4 linked regions of the Arabidopsis thaliana genome follow. The protein of the gene in region 4 interacts with the protein of the main gene of each other region in a pairwise test. Each region holds a gene or a part of one and is shown on either strand. Other genes may lie near its edges.

Region 1 (6,143 bases), on a different chromosome or scaffold from region 4:
ATATGAGAGTGCGGGAAAGTGTTAACTACTACAACTTATATCTAGTTTTTTATTTGAAAAGAAAAGAATCTCACCGAGCTAGAGCTAGATGAACTTCCAGACCGACGAAGATGCTCTTCAAGCGACCCATGGTGTTGCTGCCCTGTGGTGGTTGCTCCAGTACCAGCAGAGACTCCTGTCGCAGTGGCAGCGGTGGCAGCACCAGCACCAGCTGGAGCAGCTGCCGGATGTGTTTCTCCAACGGTGCTAGTAGGGTGCTCTGCAATGTCGCTGGTAGTACTCTCCTTATGCTGAGGAGTGGAGCTAACAACACCGGTTAGGTACATGGGGTTACCGTGCTCATCAGTCAGGTCGACAATTGGGTTTCCCTGTGTGTCAGTTAGATGGATCGGATTACCTTTTTCGTCCCTCAAATCCGCCATTATATTATTACCTTTTAGCTTCTGATCTGTTTTGTGTGTGAGATATATACCCTTTCAAATACAGCTTTGAAGAAAACTTGGTTTGGGATTGATTCAAGTAGGCATGCATATATATTAGACATGTTAATCTGCATGGATATGATACGTGGCGTATTTAATGTGAAATGTTTGCCACGCACGGATAGAATTAGAGTTCCATGTGTCATGTGTGTACTTTGAAATGTGTACGTCACGAATCCGACATAGTAATAACGTTTTGCCTTTTTTGATAGATTCGGTAGATAACGTTATCTTTTAAGTACGGTGCTTTCTATGTTCCATGGACACATGTGGATTTGATCAGGGCTTAGAACCGCTAAAGAAGGTCGGTGTTCCGAGTTTTAAATTCTTGACGTATTCTGATTGGTAAGTGCAAGTTTGTGTTGGTAACTAATTTCATAAAGCACTAAACAAACGAACCATGGAAGTTAACGTTGGATCATAATACAAATCTGTTTAGATTGGTTTTGAACTGAAACATTTGTTTAGAAATGGTTTGTAGAAGTATATAAAAATCGTATAATACGATCCCACACCAAATAAACCAAAACATATAAATATAAATCCCTCGATCTGATTAACCCAATTCACACCTACTGGTGCACAGCCAGATCATTTTTACCTTATATTGTTATAATTATATATTTACAAGTGTAATTGGGAATGCACAAACAAAAAAATAATGGGAGACTAGTGAGAAACTTTTCTGTAATACATACACAAACAAGTGTGTACCTTTGATAAGTAAAACGTTACGTTGACTTCGGCCCTAGCTTACGAACTAAGAAGAGACACAGCATCCAGATTCTGAAACATGATTCAACAATTATAGAGTGACTCGTTATTTTGAGTTCAGATTCATGAGAGAGAGAGGAGCTTACAGTTTCAAATTTTGCTAGATTTGGTCCAAAAGAAGCCTTTCTTTCTAAGAGAGCTCGGGGAATGAATCTCTTTTGGGGATTTAACACTATTACTTCTGGACCCGAAAGAGAAGTGTCTAGCAAGGAAAGGCTTTGGGGAATAGCTTCTCAAGCTTGAACTTGATATCAGCTTTGGGGTTTTACCTTTGTATCCTACTGCCGCTTCGTGGTTGTTATTAAACTTGACAAATTCATCGCTGTCCACAACGCGGTTTCTTAGTCTCTTGTTGTGTCTAGCTTTCATTTCCAAATCTGCCTTTAATGCTTTTTCCGACAGTTTGAATGTTTTCTTCTCACCCAGTGTGCAGATGGGACAAGAAGGATCGAATTTGTCGATTTCAGGTGTCATCTGCTCTAAACACTCTGAATGATAGACGTGCCCACATGCTAGAATCGCAGCTACGGAGAGCTCGTTAGTGGCAAAGATTTTTTGGCTACTCAACAAAGATTTCTCAGACAAGGATCTCGAGCAAGCACCACAGTTTTGCTGATCATTGGACTTTCTACTTCCAAGATTGTCTATCTTGTCACGACGAAGCCCAAAGCACTCGTTATCGTAAGAGCAAGACTCTCTGCGAGAATACGCCATCATTTCAGAAAAAGCTTGCATGGACCAACCATCAGACTGAGATTCATTCCCCAGCCTCTCTTCAGTTGCTGAGCTTCTGCTCGGTGAGGTGAATCCAAAGATTTGACCATATGAGACTTGCTTTGATAGACGAGGGGGCGGTGTCAGCTTTAATTGGGATGAACTTGCAGGTGGCATTGGCAAGTGGGACTGACTTGACAGTGGTGACACTGAGAAGGATGATGGTTGAGAAGCCAATGAAAGAGACAGTTTTGCAGGAGATGGATAATAAGTAGGGTCGGTTGAATCATTTGTTTTTTGGGTGATCTAAAACAGTAACATAGGAGTCATATTAACAGAGATACATAACAAATATATAGCTAGCAGTGAAACAAAGCTTTTAAGTATTTACCTGTTCAGAGACAGAGTCAATAGAGGCAATTCTTGAAAATGATTGATCTGCCACAACAATAACGTGATATCACAACATGGAAAAGTCATAGTTTAACAATAAAAGCAAGTCAAGAAACAAACAAGAGAACAGTTTATGTCAACAAACATATCAATGTCATTTTCACTCATTAACAGTCTCTGTAGAAAAGTAATCCTAAATTCTAAGCGGGTTGGTCAAAAAGAAGGTGCCTACATTTTCCCATCAAGTCTACATTTTTTGACAAATCAAAGAGGTATTGCCTGTAAGCAGCAATAAAGGAATTTACCAGAAGCAGGAGATTTCTGCCATGACTGCGTCTGAAAATTGTCCAAAGGAGAACCTTGTGATGATACAAGAGCAGTTTCAGATTTGACATCAGAGACATCGTTACGACTAATCCGATCAGATAACAAACTAACAGAGGTCTCTTCCCCTGCCACGCGTCCTCCTCTATTATCCCATCGGAAGCTCCAGTTAGGAGAATACCTCACATTGTTTCTTTGAAAATTCTCGACTGCTGATGTATTAGGCACAACCATTTTGTCTCGAGTAGCAACACAACAAGCATTCCCCATAACTGAAGCGTGTTATTGAAAACTACTAAGCACCGTACAACGACACTCCGGTTAGATGTTTTGGCGCATAAAACCACCTCAAAACCTTCCAACAAAAAAAAACACAATTTTAAGAACTCAATCAGAATCAATTATGACTATAACCTCAACAATAACACTAAAAAAAAGAGCTTACCATTAATCTACACAATAACTTAAACTGGCCATGGCCAAGATAAATGAAGTTCAAAGTAGAATGAAAATAAAGAGAGAATCAAATCCAGTAATCCATTGCTGACTAACATGTAGGTGAGTGAACTGTGATGACTATTCTTCACTAAGAAAATCCAAAATGAAAAATCTTCTCAAAGGCACTAAAAATAGAAATTGAATCGGGCAATATCTACATAACTAACATTAAACAGATCCGATATTATGGCCAAGGGACTTGCAAACCAAGTCGAGATTACCCAAAATAGAAACTAAAAAAAAAACTAAATAACAAAATCGAAAAGAATTAAGCATGTGAGAGGACAAGTGATGAACACCGAACCTGCTCTCGGAAGTCGGAAAACGTCGCCGGAAAGTTTTATAACGAAGATAGTTTCTTCACATAGCTAGCGAGCGAGGTTTTTTGCTTCGTTCTCTCTCTCTTTTTTTTTCCTTGTGAAGGAAAGAGACGAATAAAAGTCTTCTCTGACCGGTTTTGTTTAACGCCGTTAGACTCCCATTGGCTTGTACCGGTTAAAGACCCATAAACCGTTCCGATTGGCGTGTGGTTTAGGTTGAGGACCCATAAACCGTACCAAATGAAATGTCGAGTGTCAGCAGACCGGTTTGATTAGTATTCGGTTTAATAGAACCAAACACTGCATTTTAACTTGTTTTGGTCTGTTGTCGTTAGTTTTAGCGGAATTAGGCTAACGATGGCACGTCATGTTAAAACGATCACAACGCGGAAAGATGGAAAGGGAATAAAAACGCGATTCAAACACGCCCAAATACATACAATATTACTATTCACTATTATTTTTTCTTTACCGAAAGTAAATTGTAAATTTTGTTCCTTAGATCATTTCATCACTAGCTCTGAATGTATAAGAAATTTGAATAATGTGACGAAAAGATTTTAATGAGAATGCAGTAATGCACCACCTTAAATGTAACATCTACACGAAAAAAAAGTTAACATAGAAAGCAATCTCTACAAAACTGGGGAAAGTAAAAAACGAAGGACAAATCCAACTTCAACCAATAAAAGAAACAGCATTTTAAGTTCCGGAGTTTCAAGACGTCGCCTTTGAAGAACCTCCGGTGTCCATTTTCACGGTGGTGGCTTCCCGACGCAAGCTGCTTCCTCTCGTGTACGGCTTCTTAGCACCCTTCAAAGAAAAAGAACAGAGAAATTCACTAAGGTTTTGAGTTACATGTTTTTTTCAAAAAGTTTTTTTTTTGGCTCTCGACATCTTAAATCTAAACACAATGAGTGTTTCTTTTATGTTATGATACGAACCCTTTTGTTCTTCTTGCTCACCTGGAAGATCGTTCCAAGTTTCTTCAGTCCTATGGCACGAGCTCGAAGAACATCCTTCGAAACACTTGGATCTTTAAGCACCTGTGAGAGAAAGATACATATATAATTAACAACAAGATTAATTCGTCGATTGTTGCTACAAAAGAAATGGTCATATAATGTATGATGAAGCATAGTATCTTACAGATTGGCAAACACGAGATAGCGTGGATTCGATGTCGAGAACATTGATTTGCCAAAGAGATTGAAGCAAAGCATCCATTTTAGCTTCAATAGCTTTCTGAATATGTTCCTCTTTGTTCTCTCCTTGGTGTTCATTCAACTTGTTTACTTCATCCTGCAACTGAAGTAACGAAACCGCACCTACAGATCCAAAACAAAATCATCCAAAGCAATTAGTAAGGATTTTGTTTAAGTTAGAAAACCAAAACATTTTGGTTTATATTTAGCTTTGTTTCATACCAGAAGCAGCCATCACTTGAGATTTCATATGGTGGCCTTTGTCACGCACCCATTCAGCTAAGAATGGTACTTTCATATATCGCTTGTCTTTCCCGATTTCTTTAGCAGCTTTTCTTGTGTAAATGTAACCAATAGTATGCATCATTGCCTCGCCAAAACCTTAAACATCCAGAGCAAGAAGATGTAAATCTTTCTAGTTTATATATATACATTGAAAGACTTTCCTCTATAGCTTAAATGCAAAACTTACCGGCAGAAGAAAGCCGCTTTGCCTCTTCGTTTGCCCATTCGATAAATTCATCTGTTTGTCTTTCCACAAAGGGTTCAAGTTTGTTTTTCAATGTAGCGGCGAGCTTGTCTTCCCTCTCCTTTTGAAGAGCCTGCACACAAATCCCACGTTAATATATGGAGAAAAGTAGCTAAAAAACATCGACATGTGTTAAAATAGAACGATAAATAAACAATGTACTTTGATCTTGTCTTGAAGCATTTGCTTTCTGATTTCAGGGTCATGTGATTCTAAGTCAGCTTCGATAGATGCCAAATAAGCAAGTGCAAGCTGGCCAACGTATTCTTCAAAGACTTCGCTTCCGAAAAGCATACCAAATACAGCTGCAGGATCAACCATTGCATCCCTGCAAATGAAAAATCAATCACAAACCGAAGTTGGAGATGCAAAGTTGTAAACAGAGAGGACAAAACATACTGTTGGACCCCTTCTTTGCCATATTTGTCATAAGCTGCTCGCTTATCCGGATTGCTTAGAACCTGATAAGCCTCACCTAAAACCTTTTTCATTCATGAAAATCAACAAATGAGAGACGTCATCAGCAATTTGATGTGATTCCAGTAAAACAACATATAAAGACCCTGGAAAGAAACAGTAACAATATGACAAAACACCTGAAAGTTTTTAGCAGCTTGAGGGTCTCCAGGGTTCTTGTCTGGATGAACTTTCCTTGCCTGAAGAGCAAGCAAAGAAAGGATATTCACAATATAAAATTTACATTATAACTTAAAGCCGAGTTTTTGCACACAAAAAGAAAAGAAAAAAGGACTTACTTTTAAGTAGTAAGCCTTTTTAATCTCAGCATCTGAAGCATCAGTTTTGACGCCTAAGATCTCGTAGTATTCAGTCTCTTTCACCATGACTTTTGTCAACCAATGTGAAACAAAACACAAATCAACACCAAGATTGCAGATTTGATCAT
Region 2 (4,831 bases), on a different chromosome or scaffold from region 4:
CAACAACAACAGCTTCAATCACATGTAAACTGTAGCATCTCTTTTGGCCTTTTCTCTCCTTCGTTGTCTCGCTGTTTAGAATCTCTTCCCCAAACTTGTCTTTTGTTCCAAGTTTCAAAATGTTGATAAAATAACACTTGCTCTTGCAAATGCCTAATTAACGTGTAACCAAACAAGAGGTTAAAAAAGTAGAATCAAGAGTGCTTAGCATCGTGATTATCGTTACTATTCTCTTTAGTATACAAATATATACAAAGATAATACGAATCTTCAAAAGTATTTAACAAGTATTATATGTTAATGTCTGAGATGAGTAAGCACAAACTAATTCACTAATCAACTTGTTGTGTTACAAGTTTCATTGAGTTGATAACACTAACGAATGTTTGAAGGCTCAATAAAAAAGTAAAACAAGAGAAGAACAAATAAAGGATAACGTTTTTCGTTTTCCAAGAAGAGAAGAAACAACAAAACCTTCCCGCCGATAATCGTAGTGGCCAAAACAAACGCCAATGGAAGCCTTGTTAAGGAAGACAAGGTTTACGGAGTGAAATGGTTTGAAGGAAGTGTTTATTACTCTCCCAGTGATGGTAAATGGGGAAGAACGAATAGGCCACATCTTTTGAGTTATTGTGTAGTTGAGGAATTGTTGTTATACGGTACCGATATGAGCTTCCGGTGAGTGTTTTGGCAAGAGTCTGAGGAATCAGAATGGAAGATAGTTAAAGGTTTGGAGGCTCTAAGAATATCAGTCAAGTGAACAGTTTTGGTGTGAACATTGTTCTCTTCTGGCTTGAGCGTAATGATGATGATGAGAGATTGGATGTTTGGTGTGCCGAGATTTCGTTCGAAAGGTGAGATTTGGGGTACAATTGAGTGGAAGGAAGCTGTCACCACAGTTGATCCTTCTCCCTTTGGTTCATTTGGTGGTGATCAGAATAAGGTTTTGTATTCTGCTACCGTCAATGTCTAAAACAGATCAAATACAGAACAAGGCAAAAGATTCACATGTGTAAAAATAGTAATCCTTTTCTCTTTGATGTTTTATATTCTGTGTCAGTTAATAAGATGAAAACCACAAAACTAACGTGATCCCTTTTGTTTGCTTCACAAGTTTTGGAATTATGTATTTTTGAATCAACAAGAACAGCCTCCACCACCACCTGCTCCTCCTTGTTGCTCACCTTGTGATGAATTTGAAGTGGTCTTTAGATTCACATCAACCATGTCATCTGATTTTGTTGCCAATGAATATGAGTCTACCCCGGGTAAAGCTGCAGCAATCTTCCGGAACAAAGCCTGCAAATTGAAGAGATTTGGTGTGTTTAGAAATCAGACAACAAGAAACACTCAAATGAACATCACTCCATACTCTTTGTTGAAGTTTTGTCATACCTTAATGTTGAAGTTTTCTTTGGCACTGGTCTCAATGAACATCACTCCATACTCTTTACCCTTGTCTTCTCCTTCACTGATTGATACTTGCCTGTTTTTCATTATATCAAGATTGACATATATAAGACAAGAGAGAATTATATAGTCCATCCCATCCAATTCTTTGCTTAATGTTTGTATTTACCGTTTTTCAACAAGATCAGTTTTGTTTCCAACAAGAACGATGATAACATTGCTTTGACCTCTTTCTCTGTGAACATCCTCAATCCATTTCGAGGTATTCAGAAACGTTTGCCTATCTGCAACACAAAGTATTGATTGAACACATAAGAACACAAAAAAGAAGGTGAATCAAAGAGAGAAACAAAGGTGGACTTACTGGATACATCGTATACAACAATGGCAACAGAAGAATCTCTGATGTAACTTGGGATTAGACTCCTGAATCTTTCTTGTCCAGCAGTATCCCTTTCAATCAAAACTTGTTTTGTTATTGCTTTTGAAATTAACATGTTAGTTTTTAGGTAAAGAGCAAAAGTAACATTGTTCTCACCATAGCTGCAAACGAACTGTTCGATCTTCGAGGTACATTGTTTTCGATAGAAAATCGATTCCAATGGTAGGCTGCAGAGAGTCAGAGAGAACACAAATAAAGGCTTAATGACTAACTAAGAAAGCAAAGAAGCAACAGTGCTTAGCATCATCGATCTTGATCATAATAAGAAGAAGAGATTGATAAATCAACCAAAAAAACAGAGAGCAGAGTGATCAAACAAATGCATTGAAGAAAAACCAGAGTGATATCAGCGACGTAATCTAGGACCAATATGAGATGAAATCGTCTGAACAATCGTAATATAGGAAATAATGAATCAGATCAAACAATAAAAAAACGAAAACAAAAGAAACTTGTTGTCGCAGAGAAGAATTTAAATGAATAAACAAAACAAGTGAAAGGAATCTGTGTAAATACCTGGTACGTGGTGTCGAATTTGTCATACATGAAACGAGTGATGATGCTGGTTTTTCCGACAGATTGGTCTCCTAAGAACACCAGTTTAAACTTTGCCAAAGGTGAAACCGAAGCCATATGTTCCGTTCCGTTGGAAGAAGAAGGAAAAAAAGAAAAAGTGTGATTCAAAGATCAGAAGAATCAGAGTCTCGTCTTTCTTAGGTCTCGACGATGAAGAAGAAGGAGAGCACGACGACGATGACTCGGTCGCACACAAACTTGACAACCTTCACAAAATCGCCACGCGCCCAAATATATTCAACGATTTCCGCGGAGACTTTATATAAGAAGCGCGTCGATGCGGTTGGGTGTATCTGTGTTTAAAAAAAATAATATTTTTTAATGATGAATGTTTTCTAAAATTTCTATGATCAAAGTCTTCTTCATTAATCTTTTAAATCGTTATTTGATTAATTAAAACCTAAACCAAAAAAAGACCTTTAAGCCAAACAAATTTTTGTTAGTTTGTGAAGATACTAGGTGAGTAGTAGCCTAGTTGTAATCTGTAATGAATACCAAAATCTGAACTAACAATTATTTTAACAATTATTTAGTAAACACCAAGCTACTAGTCCACAAAGTGATGAGATTTTTGGGATGATCAGAGATGACTATATTTATTGGCTAATGTAGTGATTTGTCACAATTTTATCATACGTTTTGCATCTGCGTAATGTGATCGAACATTTGAACATAAGCCCCAAATCCACAAACAATAAGACTAATAAGAGGTTTCTCAAAACTTGAACAGACAAACAAAGCACCATCACCAGAGTTAATCCCCTTAAGCATTCTTATAGATTGCAATTAAGAAAAAAAGCTTTAGAACTCGGGAGCAGCAAATATCATATAGCTAATCAGAGATCACTAAGAGAAAGATTACAAACAATTGGAAACATCTTGATTCAGATTTATTAGCCAAATCTCAGAAACACTGAGAGCTTCAATGATTCAGATTCTCAATACACAAACCTCAAGTAATAGAAACAACAAAATCAATAATCCGATAGCTAAAGAAACACAAACCCCAGATCATAATCTGCTCATAAACCCTACTTACCAACAAATCTCATGTTGCTCCATGGAAACTTGGCCGTCCCCGCCGCCGCAGCACCACCTCTCGTCGGAGAGTTAGCCCTTTCACCACCTCGACGACCTTTACCTTTACCATAACCACCAATCTCCCTCTTCTCCTTACGATCAAGCCAATGACTCTTCTTATCATCTTCTTCCTCAACAAAGCTAGATCCTTTCACTTTACTCTTCCTATCTTCCTCGATATACTTCACCGGAAACAAATCCCTAGAAATCGACAATGGACTACGTAGCGTGACGTAAGCCTTCTTGTAATCAGCTTTCGCTATCAACAAACCACCACGCTTCTTCTTCTTCCCATCCATGTTTAAAGTATTCACCTTCTCCACATCGAATCCGTAGAGCGACTCCAGGACTCGCTTGATCTCGATCTTGGACGCGGAAGGAATCGTTTTCAACGCGAATTCGTGAATGTTGGTCAGCTTCGCAGGCATCAGAAGCTTAATCGGAAGATTCGCGAAATGAACCACTCGTCCTCCCAATCTACTCCCCATTTTCAAATCGGAGCTGAGCTTTTAGGTCAGAAATGAAAAGCAGTAGCAAGGGTTTTTCTTCTTTGATTCTTCCCCACTAAAATTAATCCCTCTTCACACACACATATGCTTTAATGGGCCTTAATGGGCCGAATGAGCCTAATAGGTGGTTTTATTTTGTTATTTCAAAATCATCATTACAAGTGAGAGAGAGTAACATATATGTGATTTTAGCCAAGTTACAAGACAACAAGATTTCTTTTACTACAGATTTATACAACAACAACAACAACAACAACAAAAAGACGAATCTCAGTTGAATTCATTTGGGTTTTCTTTATAATGATCATGACCATCTGCAAAGACCAGGCTCCATTGTTTTGCTGTGAGCTAGAATCTCATCATACTTTGAGCCATACACAAATCCCCATAGCTGCAACAATCAATCAACCAATGGTGTGTTTGTTTGCTTGTTTCAGTTAAAAGGTGTTGCAAAATATTGAAATATAAAGCTTTTATTTTTCAAGGAGAGGGATGAAATTTAACTACCTCCACTTCCTTAACATCAAAGTCCTGAGAGTCTGCGAGACAAGAGTTCCCATACGTCTCTGAGTAAGCGCTCGATCCGCTTAGCCTATAAGAACACAATGGATCAATCGATTTGAGGAAAAATGCCTTGTTGTCTGTCGCAATCTTGCAATATAATAAAAATGCAAATATGATTTTAAGAGATTTGGTAAGGAAATCTTACAGCTCACTGTCTAGATAGAGAGCAAACCGTCCACCACCGCCCAGAGCTAGGAATTCCTTGGAGCATAAAGTGTAGAACCGATTTGCGCCTGATCCATAATTACAG
Region 3 (5,190 bases), on a different chromosome or scaffold from region 4:
AGCACCTGCATTGAATAAGAGCAAGTCATTAAGGTAACAAAACAAGAAACGAGAGAAACGAATCAGAATTGTGTATTACAAACCTCTTTCATCCCAGCACAATGTTAGGTCACGGTTCTGAACAATCACGCCTGCACTGTCAACAATAGTTTGTGCTAGTTTCAAGTCAGCTTCAGCAGCAGCTCGAAGTGCTTCCCATATCTCTGGTTTTCAGTAAATTTCGCTCAGTTTCCAAATGTACATAGTGCGATGCAGCAGATTACAAGAAAGAGAGATATATATATACCTCTTTGACCACCATAGTGTGGAGAGGTGTCCCAAAATTCCTCACGCATGTTCGTAAGTTGTGCCCTTGTGATTGGCTCAGTATGTGCCCACGGTTTAGGTTTCATGATTTTCTTCCTTTTTGCTGTGTCAAACGTACAAAACTCATAAGAGAATGATACAATATAAACTACCACCAATTTTAAAACAGTTCTTTCAGTAACACCAATATTATAGCCATCTACTTCAGAAGATCATCACAGTTTCAATTTCATCAAGACAACAAATACAGTATAAGGCAGAACGAATCAGATTATATTGTCTATTGTTCACAGAACAATTTTTCTTGGTAAAAATGGAATGTTATAACATTAGTAAACGGCCATTTCATTTCAATCATACCATCGATAACAACTTTCTCTGATCCAACATTCTAATTCTGAGCAGTAGAAACAATGTTGAAGAGCATTCTAATTCTCTGCTGAACTAATTCTGAGCTTCAAAATTTGGAATCTTTAACGAATCACAAACATGTCAACACCACAATAAACTGATATTTCCTTCGAAATCACTCCAAGAATCATAACATTTGCAAGATTAGTTCATGTTAACACCTCAAAACTAGAACTATCACCAAGAATCAAAACATTACAACACAAGTATAAATCGTAGCCCAAATTCTGAGAACAAATTCAGCGAGACAAACGGAGTGCGGAATTAAAGGTTTAAGAGAGTATCGATTCCACTAACCTCCGCCTTCATTTCTGGCCTGAGAAGATCCGATACAACCCATTCTCGAACCGTTGAGAGTCGCGTTTGATTAGGTGAAAATTGGAAGTCGCTTCGAACAAGTAAAGTAAATGCCAGTACAAACTCGACCGTCGGGAACGAAACGGAGAAAGATAGCCGCCGATAAGAGTTTCACGGCGGGAGAATCGCCGGAGAAGTCTGCAAGAGTCGTCTTCAAGGTCAAATTCTGTTTTGACTGCCAAATTAGGCCATGAATGTTTTGTTGATTTTGGTGGGTTTTTGGATTTTGGATTGTGGCTTTTGGTTTTTTGTTTTTGATTTTATGAGTTTTTGATTTTGGTGGAGATTTTAGATTTTGCAAAATCTTAAATGGTAACTTTTCTAGTTTTTGATTTTTATATAATTATTATTTAGAAACGTTTTAAAATTATTTATTTAAAACTTTATTTTTATTTTTAAAAACAAAAAAAAAAGAGTTTACGATAGAATTTGTTGAAAATCCCAAAAAAGTGAATTTTGGATTTTAAGAACAAATGACTAGAATCTTTTAAATTTTGAATTCCCTATAATTTAGGAAATTAACTTTTTACAAAATCATGAATGGATGAAAAAGTGGATTTTGTAAAATCAAAAGCCAAAATCAACTTTAAAAACTAGTACCATTCAAGGCCTTAGTTTGTTAGAGAGAAGAAAGTGAAAACAGATCTCCCCGATTTTATTTATAGTCACTTTACTTGCCACGTCATATTATTCTGGATTAGTATATTATATCTGTTTGAATTAATCGTCAGCGTCTGTAGTCCAACGGTTAGGATAATTGCCTTCCAAGCAATAGACCCGGGTTCGACTCCCGGCAGACGCATTCTTTTTTATCATTTTAATCAGTTTAGAAAAACATAAAAGATAAAGACAAATGTGAATTGACGAATACGTCCTCGTCTTTATCGAAGCGAGCAAGGTAATAGATCAGAACGCGTTAACAGGGCAGTTTAGTAAATTTGGCCACACAAATGTTAGATTTCTTTGTGATAAAGACAGTACACAAGTCCTTTGTCTTTCTCGTTTGATATTTTCCAATTCCGCGTCTTTCTCTGTTGAAATCGAAAAAATTTTCAAAACAAAATCTAAGGAAAAAAGAGCAACAAGTTTCAAATCTCATTTGGGTTTTTCATTTTGAAAAGAAGGACCCATTTTTATCTCTCTCTTTGTTTTGTTTTCTCGAATCTGAAGGAGTAAAGTTAAAAGCTTTGAAGGAGAGAATCAATGGCGGGTTACAGAGCAGATGATGAATACGATTACCTATTCAAGGTTGTTCTGATAGGTGATTCAGGTGTGGGCAAATCCAATTTGCTTTCACGATTCACGAAGAACGAGTTTAGTCTCGAGTCAAAATCCACGATCGGGGTCGAGTTCGCGACTCGGAGTTTGAATGTTGATGATAAAGTCATCAAAGCTCAGATTTGGGATACTGCTGGTCAAGAAAGGTCTCATCTTTTTCAACCACATTGTTCATTTCTCGATCTGGTTTCTTATATTAGAACATTTTGATTGAAGTTTTGGGGTTTATGGTTTTGTTTGGTTGCCAAAGACAGTAAATTTTCAGCTTAGGTTAGATCTGTATCAATTGATTTAGATCCATTGGTATTGATCACTTTTATAAGAAGAGATCTGGATTAGTATGTGATTTTGACAACTTGGGTTTTGTGTAAGATAGGAGAATCCTATGATTATGATTATAAAGTTATCAGCTTTATCAAATTTCTTCTGTTGTTTTTGCTATTTTAGGTTTATGTGAGAGAGCTTGATTGGTTTCAGTAACTTCATTTCTACGATTCTTAGCTCTTCTTTCTCAGATTTCACCTAAGATTCTTCAATCATTATCGATTTCTTCTGTTGTTTTTGCTTAGTTTATTTATGTAAGAGAGCTTGATTGGTTTTAGTTGGATTCTTAAACTTTCATTTGAAGCTTTTACTTGGTCTTAATTTCAAAATTGAAAAGCTTCTTGCTTTGTATGATTTGCTATTCTCCATTTCTCTGATCAGTTTTGTAAAGCGTGCATAGTCTGAATTCGAAACTGTAAAGCTTCTTGCCTTTTTTGTGTTCCTGATGTTTCGGTTAACTTAATTCTCTGTTTCGTTGACTTTGTTTCAATAGGTACCGAGCCATCACTAGTGCGTATTACCGAGGAGCTGTTGGAGCGCTTCTTGTCTACGATGTAACCCGACACTCAACATTTGAAAACGTTGAGACTTGGCTGAAAGAACTCAGAAACCACACTGATCCAAACATTGTAGTCATGCTCGTGGGCAACAAATCTGACCTTCGCCATCTCGTGGCTGTTCAGACTGAAGATGCTAAGTCATTCGCCGAGAAAGAATCTCTCTACTTCATGGAAACCTCGGCTCTCGAAGCCACCAATGTTGAGAACGCTTTCGCCGAAGTCCTCACTCAGATTCACCACATTGTGAGCAAGAAGGCGATGGAAGCTGCGAGCGAATCCGCTAATGTTCCATCGAAAGGAGACAAGATCGATATCGGTAAAGATGTTTCAGCTGTGAAGAAAGGTGGATGCTGCTCGAACTAATCAGAGAGTAGAATTATTGTTAACAACCTAAGGATCGGTTTTTGTTAACGGTTCTATCGAATATGAAGATTGCTTTTAGGTTGAGTAATGCCCATTTGGTGTATTTCTGTTATTTATCTGATCTATCAATGTTATTGTTTGAAAATGCTATGTCAAATTTTCAGAACCCTAAATTATATTTATCTCAAACAATAGAATTGTTGAAAAGAAAAGATAAAAATAGTTTCTGCCTTTGATGATTTCAGTTTGGTTGAACATAATTTTCGGTTTGATTTCGTTTCACCGTATCGGTTCATTTTGGTTAAGTGGTACTAAAATCGATTTCTGTTAGGTTGGAATTTTGTTGTTTCGATTTTTTTGGTACAAAACCGAAGGATTACCAAAATATCCGGTTTAGTTTTGGTTTGTTTCGGTTAGCCTTTTTTAGCTCAATTTAGAGCTTGAAACTGAGCAATCGCCGGAGAAACTCTCACTCACAGTTATGGCTACGGCAATGGAAGAGCCAAGGAAGCTGAGAGGCCACAAATCAACTGCCACTTGTTGTATAGCTTCTCGTGACCGGCCTGGAATTGTTCTCACTTCCGGCGAGGTTTCTTAATCTCTAATTCAAACCTCTTTTTTCCGATGAATTTAGGTTTCGTTATTGTAGTTACTTCGCAAGATTCATAGTTTTCCGATCATACGATTATAGGATGGTTGCATTTGCTGGTTTGATTTGCGATGTAAAGATGTTCAATTCATCATCGATGTTGGAACAGAACCAGTTTCATCTCTTTGTTTCAAGACAGGTTTTGTCTCTTTGTGTTTTGTCTGTTTCTCTCTCTTTCAATTTCTTCTCTTTGTTGCAATTTGGTGATAACTTTTATTTGATTTTTCAGGTAATGAGAACATTCTCTATGCTTCTTGTGGAAACGAAATCAAGTCTTTCGATGTTCATACGGTAATTTAAAATGTTCAAACTTTGATTAACTAACTATAACCATATCCTTCACTTAGTTTTAAAGCTTCTCTCTTTATGCAATTTCATAGCTAAGTGCTACTTCTTGGAAGCCATTAGAGAGTTACAATTACAACAAAGATGAAGTTAACCAGGTAGAGATACTAAAAACTCGACTTTTCGAAAAAGTTATCATATTTACCTATGACATTGATGTTGACATCTTTTGATTTGTTAAAGGTAGTATGTAACGGAAGGTCGTCTTTTCTTGCTTCTGCAGATGATTCCGGCGATGTTAAGGTACACTCAATAGTTGTTCTTAATACTTAAAACTCTTAAAGATTACATAAACATGAATTTTGGTGGGACGGTTCTCGGTTTGATTAGTTTGCTTGTACACAGATCATCGACCTTGGTCAGAAATGCCTTTATAAAACCCTTAGAGCTGGTCACACAAGTGTATCCTTACTTCGTTTTTTTTACCCATTCTCGTCTATGAAACTCTACTAGCCTCGAAAAAATGTCTCAAATCAACACCTTAATGAGACATATAAGATATGTAGTTCTGTACAATTCATTCCATGGAGACCTTGGGAAGGTAACTAATATCTTATTGTGATTTGTTATTATATATACACATCTCTTCTAAAGTGT
Region 4 (6,862 bases):
GTTCGAGATTTTAATCTTGAAAGGCTTAGAACTCATCCATGTCGGGAAAGGGATCTTACGTTGTAAATTACTTGTCACAGATCATGTCGTGGTAATAAAATTTACTTAATCCAACGAATCTAGTTTTAAGCTTCCTTTTTTGTGTTTTTGATTGGTGAACGTTATTATTACTAAACAATGCGAAAGATGATTCTCAGGGAGAAGATGGAAGTTGGAATGCGGGAGTGATTACGGCGGTGATGGACTCGATCGGAGCGTCAGCTGTGTACTCCTCCGGCGGCGGACTCCATATCTCTGTTGATCTCAACTCTTCGTTTTATTCAACGGCCAAGATTCACGTTCGCTTTCCCTATCCTCATTTTTCTCTCGTTTTTTTTGTTATGAAACATGCAAACTACTAAATTAGGTAAATTACTATTATTAGTAATGATTAGAAGTAATAATGATAAGAAAAAACTACAAAATTGCAGGAAACGGTAGAGATAGAAGCAAGAGTGAATGGAAGCAATGGAGGATTAAAATCAGCTGTGATTGAGATTAGAAGAGAAACAAGTGGAGAAATTATAGCCACAGGAAGATTGTGGATGGCTCCACTTAGCGTCAAAGCCATACAAAATGTTTCTACTCTTAGTAAGCTTTGATTTTTTCTTAATTTAAGTGATTCAATTTCCCAAAGTCAAAAACACCACAAATCACCATTTTGAAAATTTGATTCTCTTCAATCAAATATCATACACACAATGTTTTTTTTTTTTTTGTAATAATTAAATAAACACACGACCCATTAATTAACATCAACCTCTACATCCTAAGAAAATCCAAATCCATGATATAATAATCTAATTACATACAAATATATAGAATTTTATAACACACGTACACCATTTAATTATGATCAACCAATTGGTCTTAGTTTAATTTAATAACTTCCTCTTCTTCTTTTCTCATACCATTAACCTTATCATTCCTCACCTGATCCACCGTAGGACCATAGGACCAGCTACACACAACGTAGTAGATGACATTAACGAAGCTCAAGATCGCTAAAACCCAATAGTAATAGTCATAGTGACCCTTGTTGATGTTATCTTCAATCCAGCTCACATTGCCCTGCTTTGAGCTATTCTTTACCGCATTTAGGATCACACTAGCCAAGATATTAGCCACTGCCATTCCTAGACCGAACAACGAAGCTGCGATACTCGACATGCTTTTAGGAAACTCGGTATAGAAAAACTCGGTCTGTCCTATCCCGGTCAAGGCCTCTGCTAAACCGTGTAGTACATACTGTGGTACAAGCCACATTGCTGAGATGCTCACTGTTGAGTTGGCATCGTTTGCGAGTCCTTGGCTTATCGCGGTTTTCCTTCTGTAATGTTCAACAGTTGCGGAAACCGCCATTGCTAAGAATGATATGAATAGCCCTAATCCCATTCGAATCTTGACATTGACTCTAACTGGTCTGCCTCGGATCTTTGAAGCTAAAGGGAGAATTGCGCGGTCGTACAGAACAACCCATGAGATTAAGGCTATGATTGTGAACATACCAAACGATCCAGCTGGGATTTGGAAGGTCGAATTGCTGCTTAAACGTCTGTCCATTGATTTAGCTTGAAGCAACTGAAAAGAGTTCTGGCTAACGTTTATCGACATCATTATCCCCGTGGACCATACCGGTATCACCTTGACCAACGCCTTGAGTTTCTCAACTTGGTCCGTTGTGCATAGCCTCCACTGGTTTAAGGCCAAACCATCAGAACCAAGGTCTTCATCGCGGTTACTTATGGCACAAGCTTTGTTTAAAAACCTAAGCAATTGCAAGAAAGTATCAATAAATAAAAAAACTAACCAAGAACTATATATGTGAAACTGATTTCACTTTACCTCAATTTGTCACTTGGAGCTTTGAGTTCAGAATCTTTCAAACGGTAATAACAATCTCTGGAGTCATGATGATCCGGCAAAGTTAAGTTTCTCTTCACGTAAGCTGCAGCAACCACTTGAGCTAAACCAGTGAACAGACTCTTGCTCACATCGCGCTTAACGTAGAGAGGAGACGCGAAAACAAACAAGAAACCCGCGAGCAGCATGAGAATCGCGGGTATTCCAAACCCGATTTTCCATCCTAGATGATCTTGAATGTAAACAATGACGGTGAAAGCGATCAAGACAGCAACTGATGAAGAAGCGTAGTACCAACCAAAGAAACTCTCAAGAACTCTCTCGTTCTTAGGATTCTCTTTGTTGTCCAATTGATCAGCACCAAAGGCTAAAGAACATGGCCTGATTCCTCCTGATCCAATCGATATTAATGCGAATGCGGTATACAAGAGAGCCAATTGAGAAGATGTCGCGGAACTGCAGTTGGTTCCGGCTGTTGCTACACACGGTGATGGTTTTACTTGCGGCAACATCGCCGTTAGCCATAGAACCACCATCCCCTGTAACATTTTTGATTCAGACAAATTTATTAAAACAATGTAGTAGGTTAGATTTTGACGTTTTTGTTTTTCATAATAAAAATGTAGTTATCACTTCATTCGTAAAATCTGTAGATGTCTTCCAAAAAAAGTACTTCCAAGAACAAGAATCCAAGTATTAGATCAGAATCTACACGTACGTCAATTGTCACATCCATCATACGAAAACATTATTTTCTTACGGAAAATGATTGATACTCGAGATGAATGATTGATGTAGAGATTTCAAAATCAATTGATGTCACTATGTATATGATAAGTTTTTTTTTCCAAGTGGGTGAAATAATAAGTTTGATCAAGAATGGGACAAGTAGTACAAAAACATGGGTCACCAATCGATATTGCTTTCATGTCTAACACTTATATGTTGGCCAAAAAACTAATGTCAAATCCTTAAATGGTGGCAAAATGTAGGTCCACGTCAGCTTGACCCATATATTTGGACATATAAATAATGAAACTCTAAGTCTACATACAACAAAAAGTAATAACAAAATGATATTTTTTATACATAGAGAGATGCAAGCAGTGTGGTCACTCACAATCACACAAGTTGCCAGAGAAAGCCCACAAGACCATAACCACAAGGAAAGCAACAAACAAGATTTTAAGGAATTAATAATGATATTAAATACTTTATGATTATTTAAGACCTGTTATTATATAAACTCACATGGACATTTCAGAACACCTGGCTTCGAATTTAATTTTACCGACTTTTATATTTTTGATGGACACAAATATTAAAAACAAATCAAAGCGGGTTTAGTTTCTCCATTCATTGGACAGCAATTTCAGGGAAGCACATGCAACATGTGAAAATTTTGACTCTTAATGGAAAAAGGCTTCTAAAAAGCTTAATCATATCAACTCTTAAATTAGAAATTTCACTGTAGATGATTATCATTAGATATTATAGTACTTAAAGCAGAAATATACAGCTATCAATGATTTAGCAAAACCAACGGTAAAAAGTTATAAAATTTTAGTAAAAACCCCTGAAATTTACCATACCAATCTTTTTTTTACTATTTCGAGAATATAAAATAATTAAATAATTACATACAAAACCTCGTACCATTTAATTCTTGGCCCTTAATTCTATGACTTGGTTAGATTTTATGGAATTCTCTTTTTGTTGTCGACGCAAGTAAAGTCAAGTCCAATTATCGAAAACTATCAAACCGGAATTTAACTCCAATTATCAATGCATGTAAGTAAGGTCCAATTGTCTAAAGCCAAGTAATAAAACACTGAATACAAGCACGATATTTCACCCAAATCAACTTAAACCGAAACTTTCGGTTTAGATTCCCAATTTTAATAAAACTCAACCTTTACTGACAGTAAACATAAACAAAGCATTTCCAAACCAAAGGCTAACTAGGTGGTGAAAAATGTTGAGTCAAAGAAGTGGCTAAAAAATTGAACCGGAGTAAACCGGGAGAAAGAAGAAGCGTAAACCGGTTAAATAGGGGACGGAAATTACCAGGAGACTGGAGAGAGAAGCAATGACAATGGTGAGAAAGCGACCCAAATATGAATCTGAGAGAAAAGCTCCAACGAGAGGCATGAAATTAGTAGCAGCAACCCACATGAACAAGACAGTTTGTCCTTTAACAAGTCCCAATCTGTAATCACTCATCAGATAAAGAATCATGTTCTGTAATAATCCATAGCTCGCCACTTTCTCGAACCCCTCGTTTGCTTCACCGAGTAACAAACAAGATGAGATAAAATTAGTAACAAGATTTGGGTTTTTGTCTAAAAAAGTGAGAGAGATCGTTTGTTACCAATGATGAAGGGCATAGTGAGAAGACCACCCTTTGTTCTTCTTCTTGTAATGGGTTGTTGAAGAGTCTCCTTTGACTCTGTTTGATCCGGAGGGTTCTCCATTGTTGTTACCTTTCAAGCTTCGAGAGAGGGGAAGAGAGAAAAGTGAAAAAGAGAAGAGAAGGAGGAGAAGATCTTTGTCTTTGTGAGAGTTTTGAGTTAATGCGATCTTATTTTTCAGTTCAGACAGCGAGGAATCTCTGTTTTCTGCGACGAGTGAGCAATAATAAATGGCTGTTATTTAAATACTACATTTTCTTTTTCCCTCAAGGCAAATTGTTTTTTAATTTTTTAATTTTATTAATTAATTTATCATAATGATTTTTATAGAGTGAGGTTTTATCCTATATGGCACACGACAATTTTCATTCTTAGTTAGAACTTAGAAATGATTTGTTAGTAGTATGAAAGAAAAAAAGTTAGATAAAACGTCATTTTCCTAATCTTAGCTAAATACAAGTTGAAACATAAATGCCAGAAATATTCGTTTTTTTGTGAAGAAAATATCTAAAATGGAGAAGATTAACTTACATAGATATTTCAAAAAGAAGAGAAAAGAAAAAAACAGTACATTGTACATCAAACTTCCAATGTTCCATCATCCATGTTACTTACGTCAAACATAAAATGGTCTGGTGTTATTGACTTATTTTTGAAATAAATCCAATTTATTATTATTTATGTACATTTCAAATTAGTTAAATATGTTAATGTTATATACTTCGAAACCATAACTATTCTATAGATTTTTTGATGAAATAGTTGTTGGAAGTGAATTTGCAATGTAGAAGAATCAATCACAAGAATTTCAATATTGTATTATCTTCTAAAGATGTCTTCTAATCAGACTTAAACTCTTAAAAAGTTTATGAGAGCTTCAACTATATCATTATACTGTAACTAAACATGTAAATGGCTTTCCACAAATCACATCCAATTATCGAAAGGAACGGATCAAAAATCATAACAAAAGTTTACTAATAATTGAGAATGGAAAACATCCCATGAGGTTAACAGCTTTTGTTTTGGCTCTCTCTCTTCCTCTTTTCTTGACAAATTGAAACTTTTTGTTATTCAATTCTTTTTTTTCAGTTTAAAGTTAAAAAATGGATTCATTAAAGTAAGTGCAATCATATATAAAGTTTTTTTTAATTCGCTTTCTCCTTATCACACTAATAAGTCAACATCTCAAAGAGTCGGCCCAAAGAATATAATAAAATAATAGCATACGAAAGTTTACCAAACCCATGTAACAATTGACCTCATGAATAATAGTTTATGTTTTAACAAAAATATGAATAATAGTATATGTTTAACTGTATAATTTTCTATGTATCTAAGAAGTTTCGGACTTTACGATGTATAGTAACTTCGACCAAGAGATTAAATTAGTAGTTTTCCCTGCTAATGTCGACTTTAAGACGAACCCCATCTTATAAAGTTACTCGTATCTAATCGGTTAAACTATCCATTCCAAATTAACAATTATATTTTCTTATGTGACTTAATCCAAATAATGAATGCAAAGAAAACTAACATTCATTATTCACAAAACATTATATATTGCTAAACAATATCATACTGTTAGATTCTGAGGATATAAACTACTGTATCAAAATACTTATCACTAATTTGTGATTCTATATCCTACAGGCTATATATCATTATACGCTAAGTAATTACGTTTCCAAGTTAAATGATACAAGTATTTGAAAGTTTCTGCCTAAACCAGATTATAAGTAAAGTACTTATGTTCAGTACAAAATTAAAAATGGTGCAACCAGATTTGAATGAAAAAGTTCGTACAAAATTAAGTGCGGTGTCTGATGATGGCAGAAGACTCGCTAGTAGGAACCAAAAATGAAATTTCATTATCCAAAAATTTATTTGTGGTCTTTCATGCATCCACATGAACAGTTTCAATACCAAATACCTAATTTAGTTTTTAAAAAAAATCGTAATTAATCAATACATCAAGAATTCAACATTAGATTATCCTGCTATTAAAAAAATCTCTTAAAATAATTTCTTAGAACATTAGAATAATTTAAAAACAAAAAGTGAATAAAAAGCCATAATGATGAGAGTGACATGGTCATTTGCCTTGCACGTGGGTGTTTGGATACTCTGCAATCTCCTTTTTGACAAACTTGTTAATCCACACTACTCATTATGTCATTTCATTTTTAATTTGTGATCATCATAACTACTTAGCCTCGTCGTAACAACTTAACCCAAGAAAATCAGAGTTAGATCCAAATAAAAGTGATGGGACACTTTAAAGAAACGAAACAAAAAAAAAAACACTGTGGATAAAGCAAAAAGCAAATGGTAACATAAATTGTTTTTACTATATACATTTCGGCGTTTGTGAAATAATACAGTCGAAAGAAATGGTCTCTAGGTTAACACTATGCATAGAATTTGGTGAGAAACATTACAGAATATATTTCATTTAAATTCGGTGTTCGATAATGTTGTGAAAGAGTGAATGTAGATTGTGGACGAAGATAATTCTGGGACACTTCCAAAAGAAGAAGACTGTAGAA

Evidence for each region.
Region 1: the proteins of AT3G16180 (region 4) and AT2G21500 interact in a protein complementation assay, tested with the Arabidopsis thaliana proteins (one large-scale study listed by BioGRID).
Region 2: the proteins of AT3G16180 (region 4) and RABH1c interact in a protein complementation assay, tested with the Arabidopsis thaliana proteins (one large-scale study listed by BioGRID).
Region 3: the proteins of AT3G16180 (region 4) and RABA1c interact in a protein complementation assay, tested with the Arabidopsis thaliana proteins (one large-scale study listed by BioGRID).

What each region holds. Positions count from the first base shown.
Region 1 is NC_003071.7:9,206,619-9,212,761, forward strand, and holds AT2G21500 (RING/U-box superfamily protein), read right to left. Parts: upstream 3,614-6,143; 5' UTR 3,490-3,613; intron 3,043-3,489; 5' UTR 2,958-3,042; coding exon 2,669-2,957; intron 2,409-2,668; coding exon 2,362-2,408; intron 2,277-2,361; coding exon 1,347-2,276; 3' UTR 814-1,346; downstream 1-813. Other genes in the region: dehydrin LEA, read right to left, coding at 75-422; AT2G21510 (DNAJ heat shock N-terminal domain-containing protein), read right to left, coding at 4,223-4,318, 4,450-4,551, 4,655-4,833, 4,933-5,091, 5,183-5,312, 5,402-5,567, 5,639-5,721, 5,836-5,895 and 1 more.
Region 2 is NC_003075.7:18,503,766-18,508,596, reverse strand, and holds RABH1c (RAB GTPase homolog H1C), read right to left. Parts: upstream 2,679-4,831; 5' UTR 2,486-2,678; coding exon 2,369-2,485; intron 2,020-2,368; coding exon 1,949-2,019; intron 1,864-1,948; coding exon 1,775-1,863; intron 1,695-1,774; coding exon 1,580-1,694; intron 1,487-1,579; coding exon 1,396-1,486; intron 1,300-1,395; coding exon 1,138-1,299; 3' UTR 894-1,137; downstream 1-893. Other genes in the region: AT4G39900 (adenine deaminase), read left to right, coding at 1-28; AT4G39880 (Ribosomal protein L23/L15e family protein), read right to left, coding at 3,460-3,996; AT4G39870 (TLD-domain containing nucleolar protein), read right to left, coding at 4,322-4,408, 4,525-4,609, 4,727-4,814. UniProt on the Arabidopsis thaliana protein: Protein transport. Regulator of membrane traffic from the Golgi apparatus towards the endoplasmic reticulum (ER).
Region 3 is NC_003076.8:18,557,041-18,562,230, forward strand, and holds RABA1c (RAB GTPase homolog A1C), read left to right. Parts: upstream 1-2,019; 5' UTR 2,020-2,277; coding exon 2,278-2,498; intron 2,499-3,169; coding exon 3,170-3,599; 3' UTR 3,600-3,905; downstream 3,906-5,190. Other genes in the region: AT5G45740 (Ubiquitin domain-containing protein), read right to left, coding at 1-5, 84-203, 287-409, 1,015-1,057; AT5G45760 (Transducin/WD40 repeat-like superfamily protein), read left to right, coding at 4,081-4,188, 4,291-4,387, 4,478-4,539, 4,629-4,691, 4,777-4,836, 4,939-4,995, 5,092-5,134. UniProt on the Arabidopsis thaliana protein: Intracellular vesicle trafficking and protein transport.
Region 4 is NC_003074.8:5,480,568-5,487,429, forward strand, and holds AT3G16180 (Major facilitator superfamily protein), read right to left. Parts: upstream 4,621-6,862; 5' UTR 4,377-4,620; coding exon 4,274-4,376; intron 4,188-4,273; coding exon 3,970-4,187; intron 3,964-3,969; exon of another isoform or gene 2,450-3,963; intron 2,442-2,449; coding exon 1,885-2,441; intron 1,808-1,884; coding exon 910-1,807; 3' UTR 758-909; downstream 1-757. Other genes in the region: AT3G16175 (Thioesterase superfamily protein), read left to right, coding at 1-91, 198-338, 471-641. UniProt on the Arabidopsis thaliana protein: Low-affinity nitrate transporter involved in xylem-to-phloem transfer for redistributing nitrate into developing leaves. Not involved in dipeptides transport.